4 linked regions of the Drosophila melanogaster genome follow. The gene in region 2 interacts genetically with the main gene of each other region. Each region holds a gene or a part of one and is shown on either strand. Other genes may lie near its edges. The genes, in order: Z600, Cdk1, Myt1 and Myb.

What was found.
Region 1: of Cdk1 (region 2) and Z600, changing one suppresses a phenotype caused by changing the other (phenotypic suppression), as found in Drosophila melanogaster (one study listed by BioGRID).
Region 3: of Cdk1 (region 2) and Myt1, changing one enhances a phenotype caused by changing the other (phenotypic enhancement), as found in Drosophila melanogaster (one study listed by BioGRID).
Region 4: of Cdk1 (region 2) and Myb, changing one suppresses a phenotype caused by changing the other (phenotypic suppression), as found in Drosophila melanogaster (2 studies listed by BioGRID).

Annotation. Positions count from the first base shown.
Region 1 is NT_037436.4:15,507,150-15,510,108, forward strand, and holds Z600 (Z600), read left to right. Parts: upstream 1-1,911; 5' UTR 1,912-1,974; coding exon 1,975-2,247; 3' UTR 2,248-2,364; downstream 2,365-2,959. Other genes in the region: CG7841 (uncharacterized protein), read right to left, coding at 324-417, 650-701; gdl-ORF39, read left to right, coding at 2,400-2,519; gdl (gonadal), read left to right, coding at 2,587-2,732, 2,788-2,959. UniProt on the Drosophila melanogaster protein: Cell cycle regulator that is involved in modulating and adjusting cell proliferation according to the requirements of the developmental program. Interacts with mitotic Cdk1-cyclin complexes to inhibit mitotic entry at the G2/M transition.
Region 2 is NT_033779.5:10,384,189-10,388,224, forward strand, and holds Cdk1 (Cyclin-dependent kinase 1), read right to left. Parts: upstream 2,075-4,036; 5' UTR 1,990-2,074; coding exon 1,841-1,989; intron 1,456-1,840; coding exon 952-1,455; intron 895-951; coding exon 654-894; 3' UTR 551-653; downstream 1-550. Other genes in the region: CG5096 (uncharacterized protein), read left to right, coding at 8-439; mRpS7 (mitochondrial ribosomal protein S7), read left to right, coding at 2,556-2,599, 2,674-3,286. UniProt on the Drosophila melanogaster protein: Plays a key role in the control of the eukaryotic cell cycle. Required for entry into S-phase and mitosis.
Region 3 is NT_037436.4:5,776,645-5,781,409, forward strand, and holds Myt1 (Myt1), read right to left. Parts: upstream 2,948-4,765; 5' UTR 2,898-2,947; coding exon 1,943-2,897; intron 1,881-1,942; coding exon 1,735-1,880; intron 1,679-1,734; coding exon 1,314-1,678; intron 1,256-1,313; coding exon 1,120-1,255; 3' UTR 832-1,119; downstream 1-831. Other genes in the region: vito (viriato), read right to left, coding at 1-500, 560-621; Pmi, read left to right, coding at 3,467-3,489, 3,740-3,888, 3,946-4,130, 4,193-4,353. UniProt on the Drosophila melanogaster protein: Acts as a negative regulator of entry into mitosis (G2 to M transition) by phosphorylation of Cdk1 specifically when Cdk1 is complexed to cyclins. Mediates phosphorylation of Cdk1 predominantly on 'Thr-14'. Also involved in Golgi fragmentation.
Region 4 is NC_004354.4:15,854,019-15,859,933, forward strand, and holds Myb (Myb oncogene-like), read right to left. Parts: upstream 3,806-5,915; 5' UTR 3,659-3,805; exon of another isoform or gene 3,596-3,658; 5' UTR 3,510-3,595; coding exon of another isoform or gene 3,156-3,509; 5' UTR 3,087-3,155; coding exon 1,772-3,086; intron 1,708-1,771; coding exon 1,049-1,707; 3' UTR 814-1,048; downstream 1-813. Other genes in the region: CG15914 (uncharacterized protein), read left to right, coding at 1-689; CG46440 (uncharacterized protein), read right to left, coding at 3,156-3,509; AlkB, read right to left, coding at 4,180-4,519, 4,582-5,123, 5,175-5,291. UniProt on the Drosophila melanogaster protein: DNA-binding protein that specifically recognizes the sequence 5'-YAAC[GT]G-3'. Component of the DREAM complex, a multiprotein complex that can both act as a transcription activator or repressor depending on the context.

The sequences.
Region 1 (2,959 bases), on a different chromosome or scaffold from region 2:
CGGACGTGGAAAAGTCAATGCCTCAATGGCCTCAATGGGCATTTAAATTAAAATGGAGCCGATAACCGACGCCTGACCCACGTGTTTCCAATGGGTCTCCCCTAGCGAGAATAAGACTACTTGCTCGGGAGCAATTAGCATTACTGTGCTAGGTCGCCACGGATTCTTGCGATAAAATGTCAGTGCGATAAGACGAGGGTCTTGAACCCCAGTCCGCGTTTTCCCCCGTCACTTTTCCCGCTTTCCACATTTCACCATGTGCCATCCGTTTGCATAAGCACCCAAGATTTGGGTATGGTTACATATGAGCATGGCATTCTTACTTTTTGTGCTCCTCGGGACTGTTCAGATCGAAACTAGCGTTCTTGCGGCCGCTCTCCTTGATGCTTTCGAATTTTTCAAAATTTGGTGCCAGGCCTGCGGATGGAAAACATGCCATGGAAAGCTATAAAATACGCATTTACTGTGGAAAACGCCGGCAAAACAAAAAGTTAACAGAGCCAGAGAGCAAGAGAGGCAGAGGCAGATATATAGAGAGAGAGAGAGAGAGAAAGGAAAAGAGTATGTTTTTGTGACATAACAGCTGTTCTCTTGAAAGGGTCTATTGTGGCATTATTAACCATTATTACTATCAATATTTTGGACTCACCGCGACGCGTTTTAGCAACAATTTTGCTAGGTCCCTTGTTGATTGTGTACATGGTGGTGGGGAGATGGGGAGTACCGGCTGAAAATATACCTTGTCCTTTCGATTTACGTATTGTTGTTTTCGTTTCTGGCAACGAAATGCCTAGCCGACTGCTATGATTTTGAGTATTTTTCCGCTCTAGGCAATCATATGATCATTGGCAGCCCAGCCTGCCCCACGCCGCCTCCTTTTGGCCTATTGTCATCGTCTCAAAAGGTTACACAATACACTTCACTTAGGGCAGTGATTCCGATTTAGCACTCTTTGATTTTGATGGCTGCCGCACCGCGCTCGTATCAATTGTTTTCGATTAAAATCACCGACAATTACTCCTGGAAACGCGTTTGTAATGTTCTGTGTTCGGCGGACGAGGCTCCAATGCAACTGCCCCATTCAAATCGCATAACGAAATGTTAAGAGAGACACCCGCAAAGAGCCGTATGTTAGGGCGTTCATGCGGCAGACAACTCGACTTTCAGCAGATCATAATTTCTTCATGGCAGTAACCCACGGCAGTGATTTTATTTGATAAGCGTTTATTTCTTTAGGCTTTCAACTATAATGGGCACTATCAATTGTTTAGTAAAGTCTTTATTTTATAATAGCAATCAGCTTTAGGTTTCGTAGTTCGCGAAGTCGATTAACGCATAAACTGTACAACCGATACACGTGTATGCCCACCATATGATTTCGCCAGTATGTACACACTTTAAAACGGCAGTGGGTTCTTTCACCTGCGCGCGTTTTTTTAAAAGCGTATTAATTGATTAGAGGCTACATTTAAAAGATTGGATTATTGAAAGCATTTAGAGATCCAATATAATTGAAAGCATTTGGAGATCCAATAAATTATATTTTTATATTATCTTTAAGGAATTATTATCTATAAAGTAAGAAATTAATATACTCCATTAAAAAGTTATGCACTTTAAACACCAAATTTGGAAATTGTTACGAATTCCTTTCTAATTTATTGCGATTTGTAAAAGGCGGACTTTATGGCGGTAGACTAAAACCCATTACTACCTGCTCGCGTAATTCTGAACGCATTAAAAAGGGATTAGCGAGAATTTTCTGCGGAAATTTTAATTATGAGCAGGTAGCACCATAAAAGTGACAGATGTGGAAAACGGATAAGCTGTATTTTCCGCGCAGATATTTATGGCAGTCCTGAAATTGCACACTCAAGTGGATATAAAGAAGGCCGTGGGCAAAAGGAAATCAGTAGCAAATCAGCAACGTCAAGCTTCACATTAACTTCCTGATCAGCCAGCCTAGCAGTTATTATGTCGTCGACAAATGAAACCAACCAAGTGCTGCAGCGCCTGAACAGCCTGAAAATCGTGGAAACCCCAAAGGAGCAGCATGAGTTCGGAAAACGCGAGTGCTACTCCCTGGACAGCAAGAAGTATTCCCTGGTACCAGCCACCCCCAGCAGCTCAGGACACGGAAAGTTCCAAACCGAACTCAAAAAGCGCCGCAAAAACAAACTGAATCGCATGTACACTTACGAGGCTGATAAGAATTTCATCAAGGCTCGCAAATCTTTGAACTTCTAATCATAATACGAACCGATGTAATCACCTTAGTCATAAGCATCATTGATTTCAAATCGTACAGTCACAATTCTTTTCACGCTCTGATACAACAAAAATATATATAAATACTTTTGAAACATTTTACTTTCCGCGTCTTTCTCTGACTTACCGTTATGTGGGCAGCCAAACTGATTGTGGTCACACTGCTGCTGCTGCAGTTTGCAGCCCTGGCGCTCAGCTGTTCGTGCGGCGAAGAGGCGAAATTGGAGTGCGGTTGCACAAAACATCACTAAAAACACAAATACTTGGGAATATTACACAAATTATTGTAAATAAATAGGAAATCACAATTTAGTTAAGATGGCGGACATACCGGCAACCAGCGAAGGTAGTGCGAACACTAGTGAGGCAGTAGTGGAGTATCAGCAGCCAACTCCGGAGTTTTTACAACGCAAAATCTATTTTTTGGTGGACCAATTGCGAACTTACCATTCGGAACTTCCCGAGTAAGTCCTTGATATTTAGTTTATTTAAATATTTAACGCCATTTTTGATTAACAGAAACTTGCAGACACGCATTTCCTACGATCTACTCACCGAACTCGCCAATTGTGTGCTAAACGATGGCATTTTTGTAATAGTAAAAGCATTAATGGAGCTGCAACACGAAACCGAAAGACACTTAATTAAAATACGGATGCAGGCGGAGAACGAGTATGAAATAGAAGTGGCC
Region 2 (4,036 bases):
CTTTTAGGTTTACTTGAATAATTGCAACGTGTCGACTTTGCCGAAAGAACTACTAGTGCGCTGGGATAAACTTAAGGCTCTGGATCTTAGATTCAACCCGTGGAATTGCGACGAATCCAATGACTTCTTGATCAACGTCTTGATAGATCGAATCAACAAGACCACGCCCGTTCTGGCCAAAGATGTCAAATGTGGCGGTCCGAACAAGTTAAACGATGTTACGCTGCTCAGAGTGGCGAATGAACATATGATAGAAAGTTCGACGGGCAGTCTTATATGGGTTGGACTCTTGGTTGTCCTGCTCATCGCGGTGCCGACCATCATTGGTGCTTACGTGATGAAGAGGCGCGGCTGCTTTGGCGTCTTTAGACGTCATGACAGCGGTGCTAGCAGTGCTCTCTATAATAGGACTAGTTTCAACGAGGATTTCCATATTTAACTTTCTTTTTGTATAATAATTAAAGCCTTGAAGCCTTATTATTCTGTTAGAGCGCTGGTAATTTGGCGTAAATCTGTAAATACACTTACATAAATTAAGTAAACGTTGATTGTTTTACACCCTTAGTTTTATTTACGGCTATTTTGCTTTAGATTAGATACCAAGATCTCTTGTTTTAAAATTCTTAGTTAAAGTCAAACGAGAATACCGAACGTTAATTTCGAACTAAGCCCGATTGAAAACCATTGAAATAGGGATGCTCCAAAATGTCCTTGGCGGAAATGCGATGAACTGGATCGTAGATTAACATCTTTTGTATGAGATCAATACCATTCGCATCGAGATTCTTTAACTGATTGGTCAATTGGTTCGTGGACCAGCAGGGGAACGTGTTCTTATAGTCGGGTAGCGAAGTAACGCCCGGCCAAATGTCTTCGGTAGGTGTTTTCAGAATTCTGCAATCAATGAGTGTGAGTATCACAGGGAATAGAAAGTAAATTACCTGTGGTTACCTAAACATTCTAAACAACTGGTCAATTTCCGAGTCACCCTGGAATAGCGGCTTTCTCGTTGCCATCTCCGCGAATATGCATCCAATGGACCAGATATCGACGGGACAGGAATACCGGGGTGAACCCAGTAGCACCTCCGGCGCTCTGTACCACAAGGTAACAATCTCGTGCGTATAAATGCGCACCGGAATGCCAAAGGATCGGCCAAGTCCAAAGTCGGCGACTTTTATGAGGCCACTCTTGTCGATTAGTAAGTTCTGCGGCTTAAGATCACGGTGAAGTACTCGCCGACGATGGCAGAAAAGAATGGCGCTAGTTATTTGGTACAAATAGCTACGGACCAATTCACTCTCCATGTGCTTATCAACTGGCAGCGAATCCATGTATTTCTTGAGGTCCATCGATAGGAATTCAAAGATCAAGTATATGCGGTTCTCCTCCATCAAAACATCCTCCAAACAGACAATGTTTTCATGTTTCAACTCCTTAAGCAACGAAATTTCTCTGTAATGGATATTAAATATTACTACATTATAGAAAAAACATGTGATTAAAGTATTTTAGTTATTGGTCTATCAGTTGAACCAGAAAGTATTCGCAGGCTTCCAATTAATAAACATAAATAGAAAGTATGATGATGTACACATGAGCATAAGTACGCATATAGGATTGTACATACACACACATATGTATGATGAACATAAGCCGTAACATAATTATGCTAGACTTCCACAGTATAAATTAAAAACAATATTGCAAAATCTTCAAACCAACCCATAAGATGTCAAGGAACATACTTTCAATTAAGCATATAAGCCATTTGAATGGAAAAGTCGCGAAAGAACATGAAACATTTTGAGGCTTGGGCGTCCAAGCCGCGGCATTTTACCTGATCGCGGTTGATGGAACGCCTTCGTCGTCGGACTCCAAGCGGATTTTCTTCATTGCCACAATTTGGCCCGTCAGGCGGTTGCGACCCTTATACACCACGCCATATGTGCCCTCGCCAATCTTCTCAATTTTCTCAAAATCCTCCATAATTTATTAAGCTATTTCTTTGCAAGCCACCGACTTTTAAATTAGCGCGTTTTTGACGTATATGCTCTAGTATTACCAGACAGTTTAAACGATGCTAAGCTAGCTACATTTATTCATTTGGAATGTGGGAATGAAACTCAATATTCAGGCAACTTATTGAATTGCTGTATCTTAAAAATGTTGTTAATTTTTTTAAAGTTAATTTTAGTGTACTGTAAAATTCCACGCTTTTTTTTATAGTGATTTCAATTAATTAAGACATCACTTTGTTTGAGTTCGGAGACAAACGTTTCTGCTAATATACTATTAATTAACTTATGAGTTTTTGGTGCAATTAATTTCTATTTTATATCTTTTGAAGGTGAGTACCAGTAGTACGGTACTAAAGAAATTAATTTAAAAAATGTAATTGGAATACCGCAACTGTTTTACTTCATTTTTGTTGTTTCAAAATTACTAAGCTCTTTGTCGATATCTTGACACACCTATATGCATGCCGCAAATGTGCATAACATATATATAACATAGTTTTTTTATTTTTTGCCGACACAGCAGACGATGTAAACATGTCGCTTTTAGGTAGGATTGCAGAGAAAACTTCAAGGCTCAGGTAAGTTAAACTTCTCTAAAGTGTTACTTATCTCTAAAAACACAAATGACTGATCACCCATTTGTTTATTGTAGCTGCCTTCGATTGATGTCGGTGTATCCCACACACTATGTCGAACCAATTGTACAAAAATATAAACAACTAGAGCAAAAGAATGATCTGTCCAAGCTTTACCATGTGCCCATCAAGGCGGCGGTCAACAAATCGTCTGATACCATCTTTCACGACGATACAAAACATAAAATGATCAATTATATAACGAAAAAGGGGAACAGTGCCTTGGCCAGAACGCTTTTGTCCAAGACGCTGGAGCTAATAAAACGAACCCAGACGGAGCACATGAATCTGGCCAAAGGGGAGAAGACAACCATAAACACCAATCCCGAAACGCTTCTGAAACAAGCGGTTGAAAACTGCCGACCGCTCCTTCAAGTGACCGCCATAAAACGTGGTGGTGTCACCTATCAAGTCCCTGTTCCCATCACCACGAAGCGGTCATATTTTCTGGCCATGAAGTGGCTCTTGGAAGCTGCCCGCGAGAAGGAGCGTAAGGTGTCCCTGCCGGAAAAGTTGGCCTGGGAGATTCTCGACGCAGCCCATGGCCAGGGAAGGGTCATCAAGCGAAAGGACGATCTGCACAGGCTGTGCGAAAGCAACCGCGCCTACGCACATTACCGATGGAGCTAAATGCACAACAAACTGTTTTTCCAATGCAATAAACTTTTCATATACCTGTTAATATCTATGATTAGGATTTGTGTCCGGGGAATGTCTTAAGAGAGCGGAATATCGAAATAATTCCTGGATTTATGGGGACTAAAAACGAGGACCTTAGTAAAATTGTATGAAGCTATGATACCATTATAAAAACACATTTCTAATATTTTTTCTTTATTTTTCCTTATACGTTGTTTATAGTAGATTTGAAAATTGGATTTTCCAAATGGTGTTATAGCTATTGAAACCCAAAGTTTTTCTTATTACACTTATACTAAGTTTTTATATAAATTTCTTCAACCCATTTACCTGGTTCGTCGTGTTTTAAGCTTCTGAATTTAATTTAAAATTATAGCACAGCTTAATAACAGAGTCTACTCTTTTTAGAATTTTTCTATTTAATTTCAGTATAAAATGCAATTTTATACAAATAAATTATCCTGATTGTCTCAAAAACATATTTTTTCAAGTGCAAAGTTAAAAAATGTAACCTGTTTATCGCGCAACGACAACGGTGTAAACAGTGCGTTAAGGTTGTCGAGGTGTACGTCTATCGAAGGGACTATCGATTCTTATCGAATCGCAACGCTACAGATGACGCACGAAGAGAACAAAGATGGCGATCCCGAGCACACGAAAATTAAAACGAGCTGAATGATAAATAAAGAATTTTTTACCTATAGTTGAAATTCGCATAAGCGCAGTGAACTAAAATAGTTA
Region 3 (4,765 bases), on a different chromosome or scaffold from region 2:
TCAGGCGGTCGAGATCCTTTTTGCTCTTGATGTCCGGCAGCGTGGAGTTGTTGGACTTTGTGGCCTTCGGCTCCTCTTCGTCCTCCGGCTTGGGTTTACGTTTGCGGGCGTTGGGATCGAAATCCATGCCGGGTATCCTATTGGCCTGGTCGGCTTCGTCCTCCTCGCTCTGGTCAGCCTGCTCCTCCGGTTCGCTTTCCTCTGCCGTGTTGGCACCCAACATATTGCGCTTGGCGGCCAGATCGTTGGTGGTCAGCTCCACGATCTTCACCTGCACTTCATCATCTTCGTAGGTCTCCTCCTGCTGCTGCTCCGCCTCCTCGGCCTTGTCCTCCTCGGTGAGCTCGCGCAGCGGTTCGAAGGATTTCTTCAGGTGGTTAAAGCCATCCTTTACCTCCTGCCGTATGCGCTTGCGCTCGTTCTTAAGGTTTCTTTCCAGATCCGCCTTTGCACGCGATCGTCGCTCATTCTTTCTTTTCCGGAAGCCACTGAGAAACTCTCTGCGGGATTGGGATGTGGGCATTAGTATCCTCCGGGGATTCTGTGTCTCCTTACTTACATGCGTTTCTTGTTGTCGAATACAACCTCTGTTTTTTTCTTAGGAGCCTTTTTCCTGGTCATTTTCAAAAATTGTGCTACTCGTTTTTGTTTACGTTTTCAACATGTGCGAGCGGCCAGTGTTACCAGATGGGCAAAATACTTTTCCCCGAAACGAAAGGTACGTTAGAATTCAAAAATGTTTTAAAAAAAATTTTTATAGTTATACGTTTCTTGGTTTTTACCTTTAATTTGTTGTTATCATATGTCATAGATGGCATTCAGTGCAGGTTTCAATTTCAATAAGTTTTTTATTTTTAAACTTTTCAAATCGCTTTTCGTATATATATCACATGATTATATGTTCAAGTTCAACAAGTTCTTCTAAAGAAGCATTAACATTACACAATCGTAAGACTATATCTAGGGAACTTCGTACAACACTACGGTCTAGAACTAATCAAAATACAATTAACGATATATTCTGTTGCCATATGTATCTGGTATTCGTTTCGTAACTGATATATATTGGGTTTATCATAAATTCATTCGGTTTACGTTGCTCGCTGGCACCGTACTCACTCACTCGTCGTCATATTCCAGGACGAAGAGCTTTTTGCGTCGGAACGATGAGGTGTCCAGGACCTTGGCGGAAGATAGGGCGGAACACGGACTCTCGAAATCGTGTACATGAACGTACCTGCCCATTGAATCAACACTGAAAGCGGATGGGTTATGTGCGCTAGTCCATGAGCTAATCGATTAAGGGTACTTACTTATTCTTTAGCAAATCCAGACGGGATTTGCCTTGGTTTGTGTTCAATGGCGTGGAATTTATTACGTTGGGGCTACCCTGATTGGAGAGGTCCAGCGGGTCCTCGCCGGAAAGGAAGTCGGAGGCATAGCAGTCACGATTGGCAATGGGTGTGGATCCTACCAGCTGGAACTCCACCTGAGGCACCAGAGGCACTCCCTTTGACGAAGGCGAGGAGGGCACTATGTTAATATTGGGCTGTGAGGCCGTTATGGGCTTGCATAGATGCAGGACCTCCAGGAAGTATAGAAGGTAACGAAAGGCGGCTGTTTTCCAATTGCACATTCTTCCCCAAACGGCGCGGCGAGATCGCCTAAAACTACGCGACTGCAAGTTGTCAAGGGTTAAGATTGATTCTCAAAGATGTGCTTGGGAATGCTTACCAGCATGCTGAAGTTCATCAGCGACTTGCGCTTCTTTTGCAGGTACTGCAGCTTGGGATGTGAGAGTAGCTGCTCGGCCGTCGGCCTCTGCGCAGGATCGGGCTTCATCATGGACTTAATTACCGACTGCAGCTCCAGTGATATTTCTGTGCGAAGAGAAAGGCTTTAGCAACCTGCCATTTAAGTAGGCAGCTAGTTCGCAACTCACTGTTTATGAACTCCTCGGGCAGAATGCCGTGCCTCAGTTCGTGCCACAGTGGGCCGTTGGAAGGAAGATCCATGTAGCATGCCAGCTCTAGCATGGCAATGCCCAGACTGAAGATGTCCGCAGCCTTGGAGAAGTGACCCTGCAGGATCTCTGGAGCCATATACCTCGAATCTCCCTCCGTGGCGTGATGGCTGTTGGCCCTGTCCACATCGATGACCAGTCCAAAGTCTGCCAGCTTGCACGTCTCGTCGTCCTCGCCGATCAGAACGTTGTCCAGTTTAATGTCCAGATGGATGAGATTCCGGTCGTGCAGCGACTTGAGACCCCGCAGCAGATCCAGCAGGATGTGCCAGATGCGCTCCTCCGGTATCCTTTGGCAGCGCAGCAAGTACTGCTCCAGACTTTCGCGGCACAGCTCCATTTGCATGTACAGTCGGTCGTACTGCTCCCAGGCGCGGATGAACCGGATGCAGTTCTCATGGCCGGAGAACTCCTCGTAGCGCCGCACCTCTTCCAGCCGCTCTGCGCGGTACTGTTCGCCGCGGAACAGTTGCTTGGAGATCTTGACGGCATATAACTGGCCGTCGGAGCGATCGCGCACCTGGAATACCTCGCCGAAGGATCCTTCGCCCAGTTTGGCCAGCCTTTCGAAGCACTGCTCGAAGTGTGACAGGGAGAGGGTGCTCAGCTCGGCCTGGACTGGTGACGAGGGCAGCGTACTGGAATCCGAACATCCGGCGTCCCGGAAGGAGATCGCGTGCGCGATCTGGGAACTGTTGGTGCTACAGGAGCCCAGCGATTGGCTTCGGTTCAGATTGTTGTTGTCCACGGCGACGTAGCCACGCGTCTTGTACTTGGGCGGCCGGAAGCGATTGCTGTTCTCCCCATTGCACTGTTTGTGTCTGTGTTTGTCGTCGTGCAATTCCGGGAGGGGCAGGCGATGATGCTTTTCCATTTTCAATTTTGGGTGTCTTTTCTTATGAGTGGGCGAGTGTGACCATATCGGACAGCCGGCGAAATCCTGGCTTCTTCGCTTGGGACAATAAGAGCCGGCTAATTCATTTAACACATGTATCTTATATTTTTGATCTTTATTGGGAGTATAATTATTGATTTCAATTAAGTTAAGCTCCTATAATCGTATACAGATTTTACATGATTTGCCTCTTAAATGCCTCAATTATCGTAAATAGAGATGGGAGAGTTGAGTAGTTGGAAGAACAATAGAAATACTGAAATATTTTTAAAAACTTTAATCTAATCTAATTGTCTTTATGAATATAGGTAAATAAGCAAATAAATTGCTAAATAGTGGAATTAAGCCTTTATATATAGGCCGCTCTTTAAAGGAGAATGGTATTTGCGAATACGATATAATTCAAAAGTGCCGCCCAACTGCGGTATTTTTTTGGAAGATTGCTATTTGCAGTATTATGCCCTTAGGTACCTGGTATATTTTAACGGTCCAGCTGCGGCCGCACTGAGTTTATGAACAACATAGAAAACAACAAATTTATTAGCAAAATGGTTAGCAGAAATATAGAAAGGTAAATACGGCGCCTAGTTACGTGAATGCAGTGGGATTACGCAACACATTCCACCTGGGTGCAGCCAAATCCCAGTTCCCAAGTGCACCTGCCCTGGTTATGCAATTTACTAGGCGGCTTCTTCATTTATCTCGTCTGCACAATGGCTTCTCTGCTTCGGTTGTTCTGAGCGCTTGATCTTGACCTTAACCTTGAGTTCCACATCAAGATAACCATGATTGATTCGTGTATTGTTGTTCTAATTGTGCAGCACGAGTAAGGTGCCCACTTTCCATGTCATCCGCGAGGTCTACGACAGCTCCAATGCCCATGAAAGATTCGAGGCTGAGCTGGACAAGGCGCTGGAAGCCAAGTTGGACTTCATCGTTATAGAGCCGCCTCGGCTGGGCGACGAAACTGGTAAGCACTTGGAAGTGCTTCCTTTTAAAGCACAGTATTAATTTCATATCTCCACAGGTCGTTGGATTTGGGTGGGCAATTGCCTGCACAAGACGGCGGTGGCCACTGGAGTGGTTTCCCTGGTGGCCAGCTTGCTGTGGCGGGATCGCCCCATCATTGCAGCTCCCGCTTGTGCACTCTCGATTTTTTGCACAGGACTGTACACGGTTTCCTGGAACTACGATCCATGTTGTCAATATCAGGTATGAAAGGAAAAGTTCTAGATATCCAAGATTGAGAAGCTCACTTTGGTTGTGTTTTTCAGGTGGAAAATAATGACACCGTGTTGGAGAAACTGCCACTGACAGATGTCTCCTCGCCTGTGATTTTGGGCTACTCGCCCAACTCAAAAACCAAATACTTGCACCGTAGCGTATCCTTGCTCTCGGCTGCCCTGTGCGCCTGGCAGATTTGGAGGTCCTACAAGTAAGGGATTTGCAGGAGCTCTGAAATGTCCAGGTGCTGGATTAGGCCTGTCCCCTGTCTCGCGGACGCGTAATACCTAATAAGTTAAGTTTAGGCACATAGGCGAATGCATTTCTTTTAGATTTTCGAACGATTTTAACACAATGTATTGTCTTTCGTGAAACTTTTAAATGTTCCCATAAACCAGTGTCCATGTCCAGTGTTCCCGTGGCTGCCACTTGCACTGGCTAGCATGCTCATAACTTATTACGGTCCCCAAGCCCAAGTTAGTCTTAAGGGAGGAGCAGCCTCTGCACTGTAAATTAAGCAAAGCCAACCTCTGTGTATAAAGCGAAACCCATTTATGATTGTTATTAGAGTCTAGTTGAAGATATCAGCAAACGAAAGTCAAGTAAACGCGATGCGAATGTTA
Region 4 (5,915 bases), on a different chromosome or scaffold from region 2:
ATATGCAGCCAGACTTTAAAATCAAGCATATTCGCGAGCAAATCGAGAAGAAATGCCAAGTGCTGTACTTTCCCGTCAATTTCGAACGGTTTCCCATTCGGAAGGAGTGCGTAAAGGGGGAGACTGCTGAGGATCTGGATGAGAAGTGCATCCATCTTATTTGGCCACATCGCTGGGAGCACGATAAGAATCCCAAACTACTGGTGGATACGCTCTGTCAGCTCCATGAGCGACAAGTGGACTTCAAGGTGACTATTTGTGGCGAGAGTTACCAGGAGATACCGGAGGAATTCGAGCATATACAGGAGAAACTGGGCAGCAAGCTGGTGAACTTTGGCCATCTGGAGCGTGAAGAGTACTTGAAGACCCTGCTGACTGGGGACATTGTGATATCAACTGCCGACCATGAGTTTTTTGGAGTAGCAATGCTGGAGGCCGCTTTCTGCGGCTGTTATCCCATTGCGCCCAACAAATTGGTCTACCCGGAAATCTACCCAAAGGAAAACCTCTACAACACCTCCAATGCGCTGACGAAGAAGCTCTACAACTTTTGTAGAATGCCGAGGGTCTTTCGCAAGCAGCGCGATCAATTCTTTGAGAACTTTAATTTCGATCGTTTTTCGGCGAAAGAACTAGTGCCAAAATATCTGGACATATTCAATAAACATATTGCAGACGAACAAAGTTAGAAATCGAAGGTTTGGCAAATGTCTATCAAAATATTCTCTGTAATATAATAGATATATTTTTGAATAAATATATCTCTCTTCTGTAACCTACAAAGCCAAAAAAAAACGATATATATATGTAAGTCCTTTGTGTTAAAACACGCTTCATTCACTTTAAGCATTTATTTATTTATGAAATATCCGAAAAAAATGGGATACAATTTAAGGTGGATGTAACCAATAATGCCATAAATGTAGCACAATAAATTCTATTTCGAAAACACAATTTGGATGAAAATTTGGGGATTCATATCTACAATATTATAAAGATGATGCGTATAGAATTTTGTTTGTAATACCTGAATATAGCCACATAGAATTTAGAGCGAACCAAAGCGGTCGAACGAATTCACCAAACACTTTTGTTTCTCGAAGTTCAGGGAGCGCGAAATACAGGACAGATTTTTGAGGCACGCATAAGCCTGCTCCTCCATAAACATTTGATCTCTGGACTTGCCACAAGCGACGCGTGCCCACTTGGGATCAATGACATGATCGTAGGTCAAGCCACCGCGGTACTTGTTAATTCTGCGATTATGGAATGGTCGATTCTCCTTTCTGCCCTCGTCGAACGGCAGGTCCTGTTCGCTGCACAGCGTGTCCTTCAAAATATCGCCCGGCGATGTGAGAAACTTGCTGGGCGTCTCGGTTTCGAAGGGTTGAATCCTCTTGGCGGAGCCAGCGTTGTATGGATGATTGGAGCTCCAAGTTGAGAGCAATGACTTCCTGGCACGTTTCATATGCGGCGGCGACTGAGCATTGTATTCGGTGCTTAGCGTTGAGTTCTGATCGGCGGCGCCCATCATTTTGGAATTGTTTGCGGTCAGCGAGTTGCTCAGATGCTCTTCATGGATGATTTCGGCCAGATCCTCCACCAGACTGGATGGGCTGGAGGGCTCGTATCGACGACCGTCCCTCTTCTTGCCGATGGCAGCAAGTGCCTTTTTGAAGGGCGTTGGTGTTCGTGGTCCAAGTTGACCTACAAATAACGATGATTGTGTGTATTCAAGATGCATTTGAAGCCAACAGTGGCTTGTACTTACTCTTGTGTGGAGTTTCTATCGACGATGTCTCCATTTCCTTTTTGATCTCCATTCCAACGCGATTATAGACCTTGGTTACCGGCGTGCTAGCCCGCAGATCCATATCTTCAAAGGTGGTCAGGCAAGGCGACTTGAGGAAGTGACTCGGTGAAAAGGGTAGCGACTTAATGGGCGATATGACGGGCGAACTCGGTGGTCGCGACCTGGCGTTTCCGGCGGCTTCTTCCTGGTTGAATGTCTCACTTGATGAACATCCTGCCTGATGGTGAGTTTCGGGAATGTGTTTGCGTGTACGCTTCAATATGATCGGTGTTTGGCGCGGCATGGTCAACTTAATGAGATGCTGCATACTGAGGTGTGCCAGATTGGATCCCTTTTGATGATCGTCTTGTGATTCCTGTGCCAGATCACCACCTTTCACGGCAGTAACCGAAGCGCCATCGGCGTTTTCGGATTTATTAACTGCCTCACCACCAGATTCCTTGTTATGTTGCATATTATTCATACACTTGCTGATGCCACCGGACTTGATCAGCGTGATGAGATGGGTTCGCGAACTCTTCAAATCGCTACCAGATGCATTAACCGATCTGCGTTCGACGTCATATTTGCGACGCATTGTTGAATTCCAATGGTTTTTAATGGCGTTATCGGTGCGTCCGGGCAGACGTTTGGCAATCTTTGCCCACTGGTTGCCCAGCTCCAAGTGAGCCTGGTAGATAATCTCGTCCTCCTTTTCGGTCCAGGCCGTTTTCTTGATATTCGGATTGAGGTGGTTGTGCCATCTCTCGCGGCACTGTTTCCCAATTCGTCCGTTCAGATATCGTGCAATTAGTGTCCATTTCTTGGGCCCGAAGTTGCGCACCAGCTTAATAACCATGTCGTCCTCGTCCCGCGTCCACGGGCCCTTGATTAGCTCCGGATTGAGGACTTTGGCCCAACGCTGCTGCACTTGCTGTTCCAGGCGATCCTTGAAATGCGGTCCGATAATCTCCCAGTTCTCACCGTGCGTCTCCACCAGCTGCTTGAGCAACACATCCTCGGACTTGGACCAGCGTTTGCCGAATCCATAGTTCGGATGCACTGCACCGATGCTAGTTTTACCGCTTTTGTTCTGTCCCTTTTGCCCCGTCGTCTTGGAGTCCTGTAGTTCGGGCGAGTCCAGTGGATAGCCCGAATCGGCATTGCTGTTCTGTTGTGAATCCTTGTCGCAAACTTGGGTATCCTCGTTCTCCGAGTACTCGGACTCCTCCGAATCCGAATTGCTGCCGTAATTCATCAGCTCCTCGCCGTTTTCAGTGCTCGCACTTGCCATCTTAAGATCAACTTTATAGGTATATATATATGAATAATGGCGCTCTTTGTATATATGTGTATGGGTTCTTTAACGCTGCTTGCGGGGCGAACAAAAGTGATAGATCTCCGGCTCTGACTTGTTCCCACGCTGGAAACGATGAACGTCGCGTTTGCAGTACAAGCACTTGGGCAAATGATCCAGAATATGCGGATGGTAGAATATGTAGTGCGAGCAAATGTCGCTGTACGAGTTACACTTGAATTGATTTCCGCACGTCAGGCAGTCGACCAGTTCACGTTGATGATCGCTGCGCAATATTGGGTGCGTCGCATCGCTCTCGGTCCGCCCAAAATCGAATAGTTTTGTTTGCTGCTCCTCGAGGCGATTTTGGTTTGGATTCGTGTTCTTTGTTACTTGAAGATTACAGATATTTGTGGACATACTCATTCAGGCAGCGAACTAAAAAGCAGATGCAAGTTTTACGATATTACGTTTATGCCAAACATTTTGATGCTCTATATTTAGCACTGAGGAAAACGGGGGAAAAAAATTACCACTCGCACATTTGTCTTCATCTAAAGTGGTGCTACCGTTATTTCAAATTCAAACTGCTGGGCTATGGGTACACACTTTGGTGTTTTTGATCAGTTCATTCACGTTTTCACACTGGAATTTTACGGCGTCGCATCTTATTATATTAAATGTAGTACTTAGTGTGACCGTTACACGAGCACTAGCGTTGTAATTCAAAACGATTAAAATCTATCGATAAATAATCACTACGGTAATCGGCACGTTTCCACTAGAAGTCAATATCTTGTACGATAGCTGGGATAGTATCGATATTTAGCTATCAACTTCTTGGAAATATTGTTAAAAAGTTGCCATCGGATAAAATAATTTTGTCAGAATTGCCAAATTTAGTTGTCAGTAGCATTTATAGGGACTGAAAAATATATTTATAAAACTATTAACTTCACCTATACATTTAAGATATTTCCATTGAACGCATCACTTCAACGTTAATTGCTATGTTTCTTTAGTTTTCAATTGAAATGCAGTTTTTTATTTTGTAAAATACTATAAAATTAAAAATTTTTCCAAGGAGGGGTTAAAGCTTAACATCTCCTGGATTTAAAACTTGACGTATATTAATATTAATACGTGAATCGTCCATATATCTCGAAAAAGGCTCCCAAAATTGAGGGTTGCCAACATCATGAAATAAATCTTTATCAATTGTACGCGTTTTAATATCTGCATTATCGACATCTTCAATTATCAGTGATAAAGTCGCGGAAGCCTGAGTTTTGATGATACGAGGAACTGCGTGATAGCATAGACGCGATTCTCCGGACATTATCATAACGTCCCCGGATTGAAGGTAGATAGCGGTTGGCTTTTCTTCTAAAGATCTTCCACCAATTAGAAATATTGCAGTCTGACCAAAACTGTAAGCATAAAATTAAAAAAAAATTAGCTGCACGGATATGTTTAATCCGTGATATATTACCTAAAAGAAAACAAAGGGGCCGATTTGTTTGGTTCAGAGTGATCTGTGTGACCCGATAACGTACTACCAACTGGATAGTAATTTACAATTGCGGCTTCTGGCTTAAAATCCGCGTATCCCAACGCTTGCGCAAACAATCCGCATAGACTGCTCAAATCTTCGGGAAACGGCGACTGCATCTCCTCATCATAGATCTTCGTGTCCCAGTTGTGATGATATCCAAATGTCGTCCAACGCATCGCGGATTTTATACGTTGGAACTCAACGCCATCGCTGCACAGATTAAGCTGTTTCCACCAGTCCGACCTGACGGATTCATCGAAGAGCCTTTCATTTAAATTGACTATATTTGGCGTTCGCGGAAAATCCCGCAGACATCGGGCGCTCCAATAACGCCGGCCTCGTTCCGAGAATGGATTCCGAATCACAATAATGCCGGGATGGTTAGTTAATGTATAGGTTCGCCAATCTTTTGGCGATTTAACGCCTGGCATTGTCTGTAGGCTTTCTACATTGCTGATACTTAATCGTTGAACAATATTCTGAGGGGAATGTAGAAATCATAATTCAATTGCAACGGATCGAGTACTTACATTATCACTCTTTTCTTGATCATTCCCCTTGACTACACAATCATCGATCTTAACAACTTCCGTTAAATCAGGACTGGTACTTTTGCACTTGTACTGCTTAAAAACTAGCTTGAACATGCTTCATAAACAATAAGTACAATATAAACAATAAGTTAATATAAACGATAGCAATAGTGTGACTGCGTTTGGAGAAATCTTAAATGCTTTTGAGCACGTTTAGAAATCAGACATGTGGTGGAAATACTATGGGATAGATATAAAAATTAAAAATGAATGCAATTCATAAGAGACATTGCCGAAAAAGCTCGAATGTCCTTTTCATGGAAAAAATTTTAAGCCTTTTTTCATGAGGTGATTCATTTGTGATTAATCTTATCGATATAAAGTTATCGATATATGAACGGGACTTTTAACTATTTTGAAATATTTTTGTTGTTTTGAGACCGATTTTTTCATTGTTTACGTTTTTGCAGTGATCGTTTTCATTATTTCGGTCGAAGATACGTCTTAAGGGTTGCACAGGAAAAAATCAAGTGGGAACATTACACTTCAGAGCGATAATAGATCTTTATTTTTTATATTTTTATGAATTAATATTAAAAAAGGAGTTGAAATAAGAAAATGGTATATTTATATGACATATTTATATATTTATATATGTTGTAGTTATTTTACTTTCATGTGAGGGGGCGTGCTTAATACTATATTCGGTTCAAAAGAAAGGGGTACCACATTGTTTAT